Linked DNA regions of Oreochromis niloticus. The protein of the gene in region 1 binds, or shares a complex with, the protein of each later gene. Links are inferred from orthologs where the notes say so. Each region holds a gene or a part of one and is shown on either strand. Other genes may lie near its edges.

What was found. The genes of interacting proteins can lie anywhere in the genome.
Region 2: nup214 (region 1) and nup85 share a complex: the UniProt entries of both Homo sapiens proteins name them as parts of the nuclear pore complex. The link is inferred for Oreochromis niloticus from reciprocal best matches to the Homo sapiens genes NUP214 and NUP85.

Annotation. Positions count from the first base shown.
Region 1 is NC_031972.2:19,142,439-19,151,072, forward strand, and holds the start of nup214 (nuclear pore complex protein Nup214), read right to left. Parts: upstream 3,600-8,634; 5' UTR 3,408-3,599; coding exon 3,366-3,407; intron 2,673-3,365; coding exon 2,477-2,672; intron 2,335-2,476; coding exon 2,180-2,334; intron 2,051-2,179; coding exon 1,852-2,050; intron 1,759-1,851; coding exon 1,688-1,758; intron 1,598-1,687; coding exon 1,534-1,597; intron 1,329-1,533; coding exon 1,225-1,328; intron 1-1,224. UniProt on the Homo sapiens protein: Part of the nuclear pore complex. Has a critical role in nucleocytoplasmic transport.
Region 2 is NC_031969.2:17,372,336-17,379,842, reverse strand, and holds the start of nup85 (nuclear pore complex protein Nup85), read right to left. Parts: upstream 3,001-7,507; 5' UTR 2,718-3,000; exon of another isoform or gene 2,714-2,717; intron 2,618-2,713; coding exon 2,585-2,617; intron 2,202-2,584; coding exon 2,111-2,201; intron 1,469-2,110; coding exon 1,312-1,468; intron 1,170-1,311; coding exon 1,099-1,169; intron 936-1,098; coding exon 892-935; intron 605-891; coding exon 535-604; intron 445-534; coding exon 323-444; intron 191-322; coding exon 56-190; intron 1-55. Other genes in the region: small ubiquitin-related modifier 2, read left to right, coding at 3,530-3,550, 5,819-5,950. UniProt on the Homo sapiens protein: Essential component of the nuclear pore complex (NPC) that seems to be required for NPC assembly and maintenance. As part of the NPC Nup107-160 subcomplex plays a role in RNA export and in tethering NUP96/Nup98 and NUP153 to the nucleus.

The sequences.
Region 1 (8,634 bases):
AGTCTAGCTGGAAGCAAAATATGAAGAAATGAGTGGTGACTCAAGACTTTTGCACAGTAGTGTAAATACGAAAAGAAAGCACAAAAGCCCAATTATGGTCAAAGCACTGGTCATTGCATGCACAGCTGTGATATCATCAGAGCACCAGAACTACATACACTGAAACGGAAGCCTAAGGAAAAAATAAATAAATAAATCACAGATTCATAGGAATAAGCAGTTCTTTTTGGTTTTAAATCTTTATTTCTACCATCTGGAAATCTAAGTTCCTTCACAGATGTGTCATAGAAATGTCTTCACTGACTGACCCGCTTGCACTCTCATGCCTCTAGACTGGTTGTGCCAGGCATACAGGAATACTGTATGCCAAAATGCTGTGAAGTTTCTTTTGGTACTCATGGCTGTCAATGGCAACCACTGAGCTACCTGATAAAGGTTCAAAATCAGGAGGAAAAAAAAACAATCAACACTGTTATTCTTTGCTTTTCTTCTGTGGTCATTTTCTTTGCACTGAAACATTTCTGTATTAATCCCTGTTTAATTATTAAAACCTGTATAAAGCTCTGGAGGCATAAAACACTAATGATGAACAATTAGATCGTGATGATCAGTTTGCTGGATCATTCCAGCTCTGTTTCACTTCATGTGGGGATGATGTGAATATTTCTGAATAAAGATGACTGTGATCAAATGACTTGTAGATTTCCAGACTTAAAAGCAGCTCTAATGAATTCCTAACCATAATCTAAATGTATTTATGTTAAACATAAATACACAAATATATTTGTAAACAATGTTTAAAAACTGCTGTGCATTTATATTTTGAGTATAAATTGAACTGTTACAGTTTGAACCTTGGTTATCTTTTTCACACACTTCACGGATCAATAACTAATCTGCTAGATACATGTGTTTAACTCTGTTACTTGAATTGTTATCACTGTCATGTTGCTGATATATAAATACATTTTAAAATGTATGTGATAAAACTTAGAAACGCAAGCAAGGAAAATTCAAGTTTGGTAAAAGATGAAAATGTGGATAATGAATTTAACTCCTTTCTCCATAACTGAGCTGCAGTGATGATTTTTTCCCCCAGTACCCATAAATGGTCTTAACTGAGCTTCATACTCTGATCAGCAGTTCGACAGTAGAACCAGAGTCTTATAAACCTGATAAACCCAGATAAAAATCTATCTAAAAACCAATGCCTGGCATACTTACTGGGAGTGAGATCAACACTAGCTCAGGGGGGGTCTCAAGTGAGCCATCTCCAGCAGCATATGCTACTGCAAACACATAGGTTTTCAGCCACAGTACATCCACAGCTGTGAGAGACAAATAGGAAAGAGAGACAAGAAATTGGAACATCAACGAAACAGCAAGACTCAGCTCCTCCTTTTCCTATACAATTTGAAATATTTTATGGAATCATTGCAATCTATTACTAATCTATCACCACCAAGATAAAAACCTTAGTGTATGGACCATTTTCATAGTTTAAATTTATATACATAGGTATGGCTACCTTACCTTTTACAGGTTCGCCAGGGGTGAAGAACTGTGGACATGGGATAACTTTCTTTTCCTCCAGTCCCTTTAAAACAGAGGAGAAAAATCTGTTCCTGTAGCTTCCACAGGCTGTTAAGCAATTTGCTTTTAATTCAAAATTATTATAATAACTTACTGGTGTATATTGCGTGACTGTACCATCCATTTTTCCAGCTGCTACTTGCTTTCCCTTTGGACTCCAGCAAACTGTGGTAAACAAAGCAAGTAAACGACTACTGAGCCACATCACCGATATGGACTGCAGATAAATTTAGCAATTATGTCAAGAGTGTCACTCACTGCAGGTAATTCCACTTGAAGAAGGCAGCCTGGCCTGCACATTGACACTGTCAGTAACATCCAAAATCATTATACTGCCATCAGAGAGGCAGACAGCCAACACAGACACCTGCACAGGATTCCACTTCAGGTCCTGCACTAAGACGTCAGGTGCTACAGCTGGTTGGTGGAATGCAAATGGTAGCTTCTGTAGTTTTCCCTGGAAAAGCAAAGAATGCAAATTAAAACAAAAATCAGACAACATCATTACATTTAACAGACAAGGTGAAATTTGGCAGCAGCTGTTCGACTGTGTTAGCACATTAGGTAGACAGACTGAAATAACTACCTTGTTCATGAACGTGCGGACATCATAGAATGTGAGTGACAAGCCAGCTTCCTCAGACATGCCACACACGGACAGTGTGAGCTCATCACAACTGAGAGCCAAGTGGTGCAAAACTAGTTCCACGGTCACTTCAGCCAGTACTGGTATTCCTTTGACTAAAATACGGAAGAAGATGTTAGTGGACAGTGAAACAGCAAAAATTATTAATGACATAAAACATGTGGTGTATCAGTCATGACAACATTGTGTTTTTAACCTGTCATTATTGCACTATTTAAAACTGTAGTGGATTCATACCTATTTCGTTGGAGTTGCCATCACCTTTATCAGCAGCCAGAATATCTCGAGTTAAGTACACCTTGAAAGTTCTGTCAAGCCCCACAAAAGTTAAGCCATACTTATTTGAGATGGCAAGGAGGCTGGATCTGTCTTTTGGCAAATCTTCGGTGGGCTCAAACACTCTGACTTTCTTCATCTGACGAAACTGAAAATCCTAAAACGAAAGGCAAACACTTTCATTTCATGGTAAACTGTTATGAACTGTTAACAACTGTGGGTCCACTTAGGTAAATGCAAACGCAGCGTCTTTGAGACAGAATAATACAAACTGTAAATAAACATTGTTGACAAGCTAGCTGGTGAGCCTGAAGGGTGATCTCAAAGCCAAATGTTTGTAATGCCTCTCAATTAGCACAATGCTAACACGTTACAATATCGTGTTAGCTATCGGTGCAAGGCTTGTTGTAATATTACAGCAATACATAAAACTTAAACATAAAAAAAATGCAACGTGTGTTAGAACACGTTATTTTACAAATGCATAATTTAATAGGACGAATCCACCCAACACAGCGGCGTTTAACTTTACAAGCACAACATCACACCGGCTACGGTGCTAACCCTAAGTAGCGGGCTAAAAATATGGCATGAATGAAACTGCCGTAACTACTTTTAATTTAAATGCTTTTAAACCGCTGTGAAAGTCTCTAATGTTTTATCGTATCAAAGTAGTCATTACAGTTCAGTAAATATCGTGAGGCTAAGGATACCTAAACCAGAAAACATAACCCACGACAAGTGGCTTGTTTAGCTAGCTAGCTAGCTAAACTAGCCACTACATTGAGGATGAACTGACACGGTAACTTACACATGCTAACCTGTCAAGTCAACTTTAACAGAGACATACCTTCATTTCCCTCTCAGGAGGGGAGTCCGCATCGTCACTCATTGTGAAATTTTGAGGGTTTTTCTTCCAAAAGACCTGCTGTATTCGTTTATTTCTTGCTAGTATGTACCACAGAAAGTTTTGGTTAGCTACATCAGGACAACTAAACACACACCGCGCGATTTTTCCGTAGAAAAAACAAAAACCAGCTAGGATGACGAGTAGATACCAGAGCAGCTTGCGGGAACACGAGCTCATACAGTCGCGTATGTTCCAGAGTTGCAATTAAAGGTTGAGTGAAAGGCATGTGTGTGTGTGTGTGTGTGTGTGTGTATATATATATATATATATATATATATATATATATATATATATATATATATATATATATATATATAATTAAAGGTATATATTTTACCTTTTTAATAGTAAGTAAAAAAGTGCATAAAAGTTATGTTTGTGTGTAAGTTTGTATATACATATATGTACTGTATATGTGTGTGTGTGTGTGTGTGTATATATATGTATATATATACATATATGTATACATACATACCCACACGTGTGTGTATACGAAAACATAACTTTTATGCATTTTTTTTACTTACTGTTAAAAAGGTCACACTTTTTACAGTAATATAATAGCACTTTTTCCACCAACAAAGTGATTTCCATGAGCCATTAACCAAAACTTATAATAGTGTTGGCTAATAGTTAATCTACAATTCTACTGTTCGAAGCTTCAGCATAAATTATCTAAATGGACTGGTGGCTGTCAGGGAATGGAATAAAAGCCAGCTAAGCCAGCAAAGGAGAGCTCTGATTGTCCTTCAAGAATCCTGGAGAACGATCCTTGAAGACTAGTTCAAGAATTTACAAGAGTTCAGGCTGTATTCAAGGATAAAAGTAGTCATACCAAATACCGACTTTCAATCTTGTTAGAGTTGAACACATTCTTTCACCTCACATACCATATATTCATGCATGTTTCAATAAACTGCTGCATCTTCAGTATTTCTCATTTTCATAGCAAAATAAATTTTAAAAAAGATTGTAAGAATGAGTGGTAGCTTAATAAGAGCCCCCCCCAGTACATATAAATATTTATATATCATAAAGATGAAATGCTTAGGTTAAGATGGTTGATTTGGATCGATCCAGTGTTGCCTGCAATTCTAAACCTGTGCCTTTATGAAATAAAACTGGCTGTATACTGTATGTTACATTCATCTTTGAAGGGACTCCAGTGACTCATCCAGCAAAATTTAACACCATTTTAATGACACAAGCATTTCACAGCTCAGTGGCACAGACAGTGAGAATTATTATTGTCACTAATTTGTCTTCTTTCTGCTGGAATCTCATTACTTACATGTTTGAAGCCATGCAGAGCTACAATAAATTGCAACTTCCAGAGAAAAATATATTTCAAGTGCATCCTTTTGTAGGTACTTTGGCAAACGCAAAGAGAGACAAAAGACAGTATATGGTGAAGTAAGGACTTTTATTAGAAAGCAGATTTTTCTGTATTGCATTTAAAGAAATTGGGTACTCTTGGACTATACAACTTAAAACTGGTGATGGCAAATATGATGGGAATGAAAGGTAGATTACATCAAAAGTGGCAACTTGCATTTCTGTTGTATATATTATTGATGCTTGAGTCAGAAGGCGCATAAACATCTTTTTCATTTGAAACATAAAGCGGCATCAACACTGAAATTGTCCCATCCCAGTTTGCCTGATCCAAGCCCAGCTGATAGTGAAGAACATTACCATGATCGGTGTAGGGTTGTTGTCCATCAAAGGGCTCAGGACCACCTCCAGAACATGCTTACCAGAGCATGACAGATATGGTCCATGTCAACATGGGGACAGCTCTGTTTGCAAAGCACCAAAGTTTGACTCAGTCCTGGTTGTAAAGACACACACTTATAACCAAGAAGGCTGGAGATAACATCACCATGTCCCTCCACTCTGGAAAGGAAGCTAGCACAGACTGAAGCAAGCTGAAGAAAGACAAAGCAAACAGCAAGAGCACATAGCAAGTCATACCGTATCTCCCATAGTGCACTTTGGGTCTCGTCCTATTCTGATTGTCAGCGCTCTGAACACATGGCTTTAAAAGTTGCATTTACCCCTCATTTGCCTAACACCCAGTTGCTCTCAGTGTTTTTCCTTTCACCTTTCCAAGTAGTTCTAAAGTGCTGGCGTTATGTACAAGGACACGTAAATACACATACAAACCTTCAGTGCATTTTCTTCCGAGTGTGCTGAGCTGTGAACACACTGAACTGTGTACTTGGTCTCTGTATTCCACTCTTTGTCACTACTTTGCTGTCATTAATACAAGAAATTCAGCTTTATGCAAACATTCAGCGAAAGGCCAGGTTGTATAATAAAAAAATCCAGCCCTGCTCACCACAGGACACCTCAATCTTTGTTTACTAACAGTGACAAGAGTTATTCAGCATAAAATACATGGTGCATAAAGATCAGAGGTTTCATTGGGTTGCGGTGAGTGTGCGAATGGCATGCATTTTATGGTACAAGTGTCTCTTTGCATATAAATGTATTGTTTTTCATGATGAGCCAGTCACTGGAACAAAAAACTACAGTGTCCGTGTGGGGGTGAGCAGAGCCCGATGCAAAGTGAGGAAGAAGTTATTTGCAATAAAATACCCTCTATTCAATAACCATCCAAGAAAAACTAAAAGTTTGATATAAATGAGAAACACGTCAGATACATAACATACGTGTAACTGGACTTTTCTCTTTTGGCCACGTCAATCTTCCCAAGGGTTAACCATGATATTCTCCATTTATAGTGCAACATCGTTCATTTACCCTGCACAAGAAAAGGATCAAACCCCAAGTGCTGTTAAAGGATTATTTTTCTGCTTTGTTTTTTTTTTTTGATGGCTTTGTTTTGCAGCGGGGCAGAAAAGGTGAATGAGCTGGTCAAAACCGGCGCATGATAAGGAAACCGTGCGTAAAAAAAGAAAGAAAACCCCCCCGCCCCAAACAACAACAACAAAAGCCCGCCACACCTTAAATGTGATTAACTGATGAACAGGTTTGACTATACTTGACTATACTACGAATGAGATTTCATTTGAATTTCTTCCAAGGGTGTTCAACCAGATTCCTTAAGAGGTGTGCTGTAAATATGTAATACTGGGCTGGTGAGCCAACATGATGGAAAACATAAAGCAAGAATGTAAGGTGAATAAATGACTACATTATTAATATCATTTATTAGATTAAAAATTACTAGTTTGGAATTTTAAACTCGAAAATGGCCCAAAAAAAGTGTTATCTGGCTATATTTAGTAGATCCTTGGTCTTGTTTGCTTCTGAGCACAAAGTAATGGCACACATCCACACCCACACATTCACAGTCTAAGGCACTGCTCCACACCCCTTTAATACTACAGTGGAACATATCCATGTTTCCCACCCGTTATTATTTACTGCTTTATTTTAATTGCAGCTGATTTCATATTCCCCATGTATTTAGTATCTCTGCGAAAGTCCGCCTATTCAAAAAGATCAAAATCAAAGATTTATTTTACACAAAAACACACAGAGAGAAATATTAAATACAAAGCATATCACACTCATTGCCCAGTTTACCAACTGAGTAGAAAGGTTTCTCTCTCTTTTTTTCTGAAGCTATAACAGCTACTTTCTATATTTTCCAAAATAAAGGCTACACATATCCATTTCTCAAGTCTGTTACTCTGACTGGCATAACCAGAAGTGATCAGACATTTAAGTGGCTCAAATAGACAACTGAATATTGTTTTCTTTTTTTCCCTGCAAGAAAAACCTGTAAGAATAATAAACGAAAAATGATATGAAGGTACAATTTGCAAAATCTCTGTGTTAAAAAAAAAGATCAAATAAACAGAGGGAAAAAGTCTGCACTGCATGTGAACCTTGCTCAGTTTTGCACATAACGATGTTCACTACACTGGAAGACCTGTTCGTGGTTTGAAAAAAGAAAAAAAAAAAATCACTATATCAATAAAGCTTTAGGTTTAAACACCACCCAGCCTCACATTAATTTTATATTATGGCATATTTTGTAGAATTTACTATACTCAAATCAAAGCTTGGACCCTCACCACAGCAGTGCTACAGATTACATTCATCCATCATCCCAGCCATCGTGTCACAGTCTTGTTTTATCTACGGCAGATCGCATTTATTCCCAAAGAAAATAAACACTATAAACCTTTTTGTTACTACCTAGTGCAATTATAACCCTGTGTTTCTTGTGCAGGGCCATCTTAAAACTTCCCCTAACAGACCCTGAAACAAGAGCACAGACAGAGACTAGTCTGGCCCCGCTCATGAAGTGGCAAAGCATATATTTGGAGAATAGTATTAGTACTAAGCCTGTCAGTTCTTAACTTAACCTCTCACTCTCTGTAGCAGAAACCCACTTTCCCCAAAATGTTGGCGGCTTCTCTTTCACTTAAATGAATCTCTGTGCTTTCGTTTGCTGATAGGGAGAAAAAAAAGAGATAGGGAAGATCTATGCATGGCACAACGAAGAAAGGCTGTGTGGCAAAAAACAGATATCAAAAAGAAGAAATCAGGTATGACGAATGCAGGTTTAAAGTCCCTGTTGGACATTGCTTTGCTCCCCCCACCCCCTCTCCAAAACGTAGAAACAGTCATTGTCAGAGAGACTCGTTTCAGGTGTTGTCGTTACAGCCTCTCAATTAAAAAGGTCCACGTTACCTCCCTCAGCTTCTCGGCCCTTTACCTTCTTTTGAGTGCAAATGCAATAAGCCAGCATAAATTGCTCTTATAAGTTTGATTCAATAATTTACCCACCCACCCAAAGAAAAAAAGAACAAACAGTAAAACAAACAAACAGCCAGGTAGGAAGCAGGACTGCGTAGTATCGGTGCATATCACACCACCACCACTACATCATCGAGGTGGAACAGTGCTTCTCTCTAACATTCGTTCTTCTACCGCCCAGTGTAGTGCACTTCTTTACTACTCCATATATCCAGTCTCCTCTGCTCATGGGCACAGCACACTCTTTAGTTTTAAAAAAACAAAAACAAACAAAAAACAAATAAAACAACAACAACAAAAAGAAAGACATTCCAACTGTTACTGTGTAAATCCTGGGTCACAGCTCGATCAGTTCTAACATGCGTCAGACTGCGGTCAGGTCCAGCGGGAAACGGAGAGAGTCCTCTTTGAGCGTTAACAGCATATCTCGAGGCAACGCCAGCTGTTATCTTATTTCAATGCAGGTTTGTGG
Region 2 (7,507 bases), on another chromosome or scaffold:
TAAAACAATTTCAGCTATCATTCAAAGGAAATAAACCACTGCATTTTCATCTTACATTGTAGAAGGGCATCTTGCTGAGCAAGGTATCCATCTGCTTGTACATGCTCCTGGCAGCAGGCTGTAAGGTGCCCTGTTTCACCAGCATCTGTCTGACTTCTTCCAACCTGCCCTGCAGCACATAACTCACCACCTGCACAGCACACACATGTGATCACTCAGGTCTCTCCAGAGAATTCATAACAGACAAAACACAGATGAAGCAGCAAATGCAGAACACCAACAGTGGAGATGTAATTTTAAAGATGTAACATGCTGCACCTACCACGTCCCAGTAGTCGTGGTGCTCAGCAGGGCTCTCACTTTGGAGCACCTCTCTGGCCCTCTCGTCCACGTCAGCCTTATGTAACCTTACCCAGTCCAGCAGGTGGAGCAACAGGGAGCCTGCTGAAAACACAGACACAGCCATGTTGCAGATACGTTTGTTTGGGTGTTTCTACAACCCCAAAAATCCAGTCATAAGATGCGGATTCCAACCTGGAGCAGCATCGATGAACAGCACTTCACACAGATTCCAGATCAGTTCTATGGCCAAAAGAATGGACACCTTTAACAAAACAAAGCAGATCAGGGTCAGGATAATGCCACTAAACAATGCAACGAAATGTACATCTGAGTAAAAAACTGAATGTGGATTCTTCCTCACTAACTGAGCATTAATGTCCCCTTTCAAATACAGGCAGTTTGACTGTGGTCATAAAACCCACAGAGCTGTGCCACGCTACTCAATTAAATCATGACATTATTAGTCAATTACTGACAGAGACACTCACACATGCTCTGTATGTGGACTAGTCCAGATAACGTTACTGCCACACAAACATTAGTACTTACCTGATTTCCACACTGAGTGGCCAACTCTACATTTCTGGTAGAAACTGCAAAAAGGAAAAGTTGTTTAGTGAGTAATCACACACATTTCCTTTGTTTTTATTGTATAAACAAGACTATAAAATAGAAATTTGAAAAAACTGCCAAAACTTTTATGGTTACATCAAATTGAAATTTTTTGCCAAAAGAAGTATATTTCAACAGTATTACCTGCAACTTGCTGAAGTTCCTCCATACAAGCACGGATCACGGATCGATAATTTTTGCTGATACTAACAAATCTAAGGAGTAAGGCAGAGGTAAAATTGTAAAACATACAAAGTGGGTGCTGCTTTGTGTGACTTTTTCAACTATTGTTATGCCACCGATATGCAATCCAACAATATGAACAAACAGAGGTGGGATTGCACCACGCGTCCTTACTGGGGTTTTTTACTCTTGCTAGGGAGTTCCTCTCTAATTGTCTGCAGGCCGACGAAGATGTGGTGAGACTCGTTAAAAAGCTTGCGTAAAATGGGGGAATATATGTCCTCATCTTTCCTGATCTCATGGATGAATGAGCAACCTGATCCTGAAGCACCTGAAACAAAGGCAGGTGGTGAAAGAACAACAGTAATATTATAGTTATTGTCATTACACATATAAAACAAAATTTAAATGTCTGAAAAAAATGGCTCAAAATATGTTTATTGAAAAATGTATATATGCACATGTCTAAAAGTAATCATAAAAACTATAGTAAAACACATCAAACAGTGCTATGAAAAAGTTACCTAAACAATAAACTAAATTAAAACAATTCTGCCAAGATGAGTGGGTACAGCGATGTGAAAGACTCGCTGCCAGTTATCCCAAATGCTTGATTGCATTACTTGCTGCCAACAGTGGCACAGTCAGTTACTAAGTTTGGGGGCAATTACCTTTTTAAGAAAAAAACAAAAACAAAACAAAACACAACAACAGGGCCTGATAGCACTGATTGCCTTTTATATTTCATCTGGTCATCAAAAATCAAAATGTGTTTGATAATATGAAACATGTAAGTGTGACAAACACGCAAAAAAAAAATAAGACATCAACAAGCGGAAAATACTTTTTCACAACATTGTAGCAGACATTTCACAGGCATTCACTACACCATTCATTCTCTTAAAAAGAAAAGGAGAAACAGAGGGAAACTGTGAAAGCATACATGGTGTCCTGTGCTAATTTTGAAACATACCTGATGCTTTGTATAGTGTCTCATATACAAGAATATCACCAGGACCCCATGCAAATCCCATGTGCTTTCCATCACTGATTGCAGGGATATTCTGCAATTAAAAAAGGAGAAACACTGTTACTACACTGAAAATGATGTGAATAACATGATGAGGGTTAAAATTAAATCATTCCGTTTCAGATTTAATTATAATATTATGTGAGAAGGTTGAGTGGTGACTGAGACATGGTCTAGCTATATTACTAACTCAAACTGTAGTTAATGCTGCTCGTAATTCTAACTCATCTTCTTATAATCTTGCCACTTTTATACTTGTGACATGGCTGAGTGTGTGCCCCTTTCCATTTCTTGACAACTTACAATATAAATATTCAAACGGGTCGTTAAAATAGGTGTTTGCGAAAGTTAGCCTGTTAGCAAAGCCATTTAGTGCCAATGAGGAGTTAAAAGCACTAAGCTACAGTGGCTACTTACAGTAATAGTGGGCTCAACGTCTACCTCCTCCATCTGGGAACAATATCATCGACACAGAAAAGACAACAATGTGAACTTTTTTGGCTATAAACACGCCATGAACTGCAAATGTGGACCGGTACTGCTTACGCGCCTCGCTCTTTCAGTCGAAAGCACCTGCTGCGCATGCGTTACGATGTCACCGAAAGGGGTGCCCGTCTACCTGCCTGTTTTTCCGTCGGCTGAGCTTGACTCGGGATTTTGGATTTATCGCGACAAATGCAGAAAATACAGCTTATCACTAACTTTATAACTGCCTCCCCGGACTCACCTACGAGAGGTCATTACCAGCATTAAGAAGCTGGGTTTGTCTTTTGCTATCCACAAACATGCTACCCACACTAATGTCTCCAATTGAATCTGTGAAGAATCAGTGCAGCTTTGCCCTGTACTGTTACAGTTTGAGTTCGTAAAGGCCACCATTGGTTCAGTACACCTACACATCACCATCAGGCAAAAACAAAAAAACAAGATGGCCACTGGTATTTAAAGGGTTAAAACGAAAAAGGAAATGGAAAAGTGCACATTTGGCTCTCCCCATGCAGTGAGGATCATGTGTGGTGATGCTGACTGAACTATGCTGCACCCATGCGAGCTCAGCAGGGCGATAAGGGGTATTTAATGAGATAACCGCTTCTCAAAACCTGAAAACAAAAGGGAAAACATCGCCGTGCGCGTGCACGTGCATCTGCCTGCCTCTTTAACGCGCATTGTGACTCTCCCGCCCTTGCCCAGACTGCGCTTTCAACCTCGTGACTACTCGGTGTCCACTCAACGCTCGTTGAGGTGGACGCGCATGGGCGCGTGGCCGCGCACGTTCGGTTGTAATAGTCTAAACGGGCACGTGTACGTGCGCGTACTCGTGTTCTTTGTGTGGCAGTGTAGAGAAGCGCCAAAAGAGTGACCATGGCTGATGAAAAACCAAAGGTGAGTGTCTCCACAGTGGATTGAAATGCCAGTTTACTCCGCCTGATTTTTTTTGACACGTGCGTGTGTAGAAATACGGTTATTTCCGCATGTTTCGCTGTGCCTTTTTGCAAAGTTACAAGCTGAAATTCAACTACTAGCTGTACCTACTTTGATAGACCGGAAGGTTTGTGAACGCGCATCCAATGGCGCGCGGACCTCTTTCTGCTTGATAACACACAGCCAACCAGCTGGTGTCATCCCCACTGCATGCCTCATTTCGCCTGTGTGTGTGTGTGTGTGTGTGTGTGTGTGTTTGTGTGTGTGTGTGTGTGTGTTTGCGTTTGCGTTTGCGTTCTTGCATGTGTGAATGGCTTGTGCCACTGTGGGAGAGTGTACCGGTGAGAATCTGTTGGTGCCACTGAAACTATATGAATCATCACTGTGGTGATCTCAGGCTCACTCTGAGTCTGCAGGCGAAGCGAAAAGGGAGGATTTAAGATTTAAATTTTTTAAATTTTAAATTTTGTTTAATCCGAGAAATAGTTTGTATACAGTATTGTGCAAAAGTCTTGAGCCATCCCTCATTACTCTCTGTTTTGCCTACTCAGTGATCATACCCAAGTTTTCCAGGTCTTTCGTGTTTTTTCCTATTTGGAAAACACATTTCTTTAACTTACTTTTTTTATGCCACAAAAGGCTTAAAATTGTGTTTTTGCACCAACAAAGTGATTCCCACTTTGGGAAAAGACCTAGCATATCTCAGCACTGTGTACAGTGTGTCCTTACATTTTAGGAAATTGGACAAGTGGAGGACAAAAAAGGTTACAGACTTTAAGATGAACAGATGATCAGCATCTGAAATTCATGCCCATAAGAAATGGGAAAAATTCGGCAAAAACCTGACACAGGACCTGAGGCATGCACCTGGACCTTCAGATGATCCATCTACTGTCCTCTGAAGCCTCATCAGAAATGGCAAGAAGCCATTTTCAAGGAAGAGAAAAACGAGGAGAAAAAGCTGAGGTATCAAAATTAGACAAGAACTGAGATTTATAATTTTTTTTGATTTAAATCATCAATATGTACAGAGGAGGTCAAGAGAGAGGTACAGCAGTGAGTGTCTACATCCATCTGTCAAACACAGTGGAGGCTCTGTCATGGTTTGGGTCTGCATTTCAGCCAATGGTGTTGGGGGATCTTGTCACAGCTGATGGAAACACAGAAAAGTACCGTCAGATTTTGATCCACCGTGTAATCATCTGGAAAGCATCTGATTGGCAAAAGGCTCATTTTTGAGCGCAGTAAAAGCACACCTTGGATAAAAAAGAAAATAATTTTTTTTAAAAACAGTGGAACACAATGTCGGTGATGGGTTGGTCTCCCCAGAACCTGAACCTCAACATTATTGAAATAGTGTAGCATCATGTTGAAAGAGATTAGACCAAAAAGCAGTCAACATCCAAAGAAGAGCTTTGAATGTCCTTCAAGAACCTTGGATAACTACCTAGACTACTTAAAGAAATTACAAGAAGGCTTTCCTTGGAGAGTTCAGGCTGTGTTGGAACAATAAAGTCTGGTCATATGAAATATTGATTTTCAAGCTCATACTGTATTCTCAAATACGTTTGCATGTTTCAATAAATTGCTGCAACTATTTGCCATTATCCTAACAAAATATAAGAAATGAGTGGTGGCTCAACACTTTTGCACAGCACTGTATATCTAAACAATTTCAAAATATGCAAATCAAACTGGTCGCGCATTCTCCAGTCCTGGGGAATTTTACGCCTTTGGGCTTATCAACCTTCCTTTTATGGATGCTGACATATCTTTCTGGCAGTTACACATTGTGAAAGTGAAGTCAAACTCATAGCAGTGCTGCTTTTGTACAGCTCAGTCTTTTCCTACTCTGTTTTGGCGATAATGACACGGCTGGGTTGATACTGACATTTGCCTGCTTTCTTCCTCCAAAAGAAAATTGATCAAGAATCAATAAAGAATTAGCACAATTGATAATGTCATGGATATTAATAAGCTCTTGCCAATATTCTTCCCTAGCCACCTGGTGAGCTGTTTAGGTGTGAATTCATTATTTCATCACGCTTCTGCAAAATTAAAAGACCACCGAAGGCACTAAAGGGACTGAAATTACGCATTTAATAATAACAGAAAATACCGTGCAGCCTTTTCCCCCTGCAAACCTGTAACTAGTGCAATGTTCTGGTTAGTCAAAGTCATTTTTTTTTGTTCCTTCACTGTGTTTCTCTCTGTGCTTTTATCCCTCAGGAATCAGTGAAGACAGAAAACAATGAACACATAAACCTGAAGGTAGCGGGTCAGGATGGATCTGTAGTGCAGTTCAAGATCAAAAGACACACACCGCTCATCAAACTCATGAAGGCCTACTGCGAGAGACAGGTGATTATGGCCCTGAGGCATTACACTAACACTGATCATTTCCTAAATGGGCATAGATCTTTATAAGCAGAGTGTAGCTACAGTTAAATAGACTCCTTGTTATTTTCTGTTCTCACCACATGGGGGGAACTCGACTTGGAGTATTATTTCCCCAGAAATATCTGTCGAGTGCTCCTCTGTACACCTCTGCTACTAATCATATATACACTTGATGTAATTGATAGTTAGCTGTTGGATTGTATTCTAAATAACATGTTTAGGTGTTATTAACAATAATCCTGCTTTCTTTTAATTGACCTTTACCCTGCATCGCTGCACACCATTTACAGTTGGCAAAAAGACACGGGTGTATAGAAATAACATTTACTGGGAGAGTTGCCTGCCCTCTGTGGAGCAAGGCTTGCAAGTGCTTACAGGTTATGCTGTTTTAACATCATAAGGAAATCATTACTGGAGTTACTTAATGTTTTAGAGGCCCGACTTTGAAGTTTGCACACAGTTAATCGTGTTTTACAACCGAATAGGATACAATTAAACCATTTACTTTCAATTCTTTGACACTTTTCACACATGCATTTAATGACTGCAGATTATATGTTTGTATTCTAGATGCCAAAAAAAGCAGTTATGCCAGGGCATCTTAAAATTTACCGTAAAATATATGCAGGCATTTTAAAAAGAAGGTTTTCATAGGACTATGTGCGATCCTCTGAAAAACTAAGTACACCTTTACTACTTCAATAGGGATCAAGGGGACAAGTAGCAGCCAGGTGTTGCTAATCAACTTGTACTTGATTAACTCATGCCAACTATTAAGCGAGGTGGAGGGGTCACGATTTGGGTTTGTTTTTAAGCCACAGAGCCACAGGCCGTTTGTCTGACAGCTAAAGCTTGGCCAAAAGTCTCAAATACTTTAATCACATTTAACAGACACATCACGTGCTAAAAGATCCATCCATCCATCAGACAGTAACTCATCACAGTTGTTGTTTCACTTTTCCTTGAAAAGGTTTCTATTGCAGTTCTTCTCTTCCTCCTCAAATGCAGTTAAGGTCTACAGCTTTAATGCAAATACCACCTTGATAGCGTAGCTTTAACGCTTTACGTGGCTCTTGCATCCCTTAAATGAACCTCCCTTATCGTCATCTGTGATTTCACAGTAATCGCAGAAGACATCTAATCTTTTCCTCCTGCTGTTATGGATTAGCTCAGATTTTAAGCTGTTCTCTGCCAAGCTACTTGCTGTAATGGCATGCAGGAATTTTGACTTTTGTATGAATTAGCACTGCACTGAGCATCACTCTGATTCTCTATTAATTGCAGCTGTGTTTGCATTGCTACAAAAGCAATTCCCAAGGTTTTCTAAAAGAGCTGTGCACAAAAGTAAAAAAATATGTAATAGAACATGAGGTCTGAGATCCTTTTTATTTGAAAGTCAAATAAGGGTTCAACTTTGTGGAAGAATGGAAACCCAATCACAGTGTTATCTGTTCCTTGGACTCCCATCAGGGTAAAAGAGATGTTTGTCACACAGCTCTTTTTTTAAAAGTACAGCCA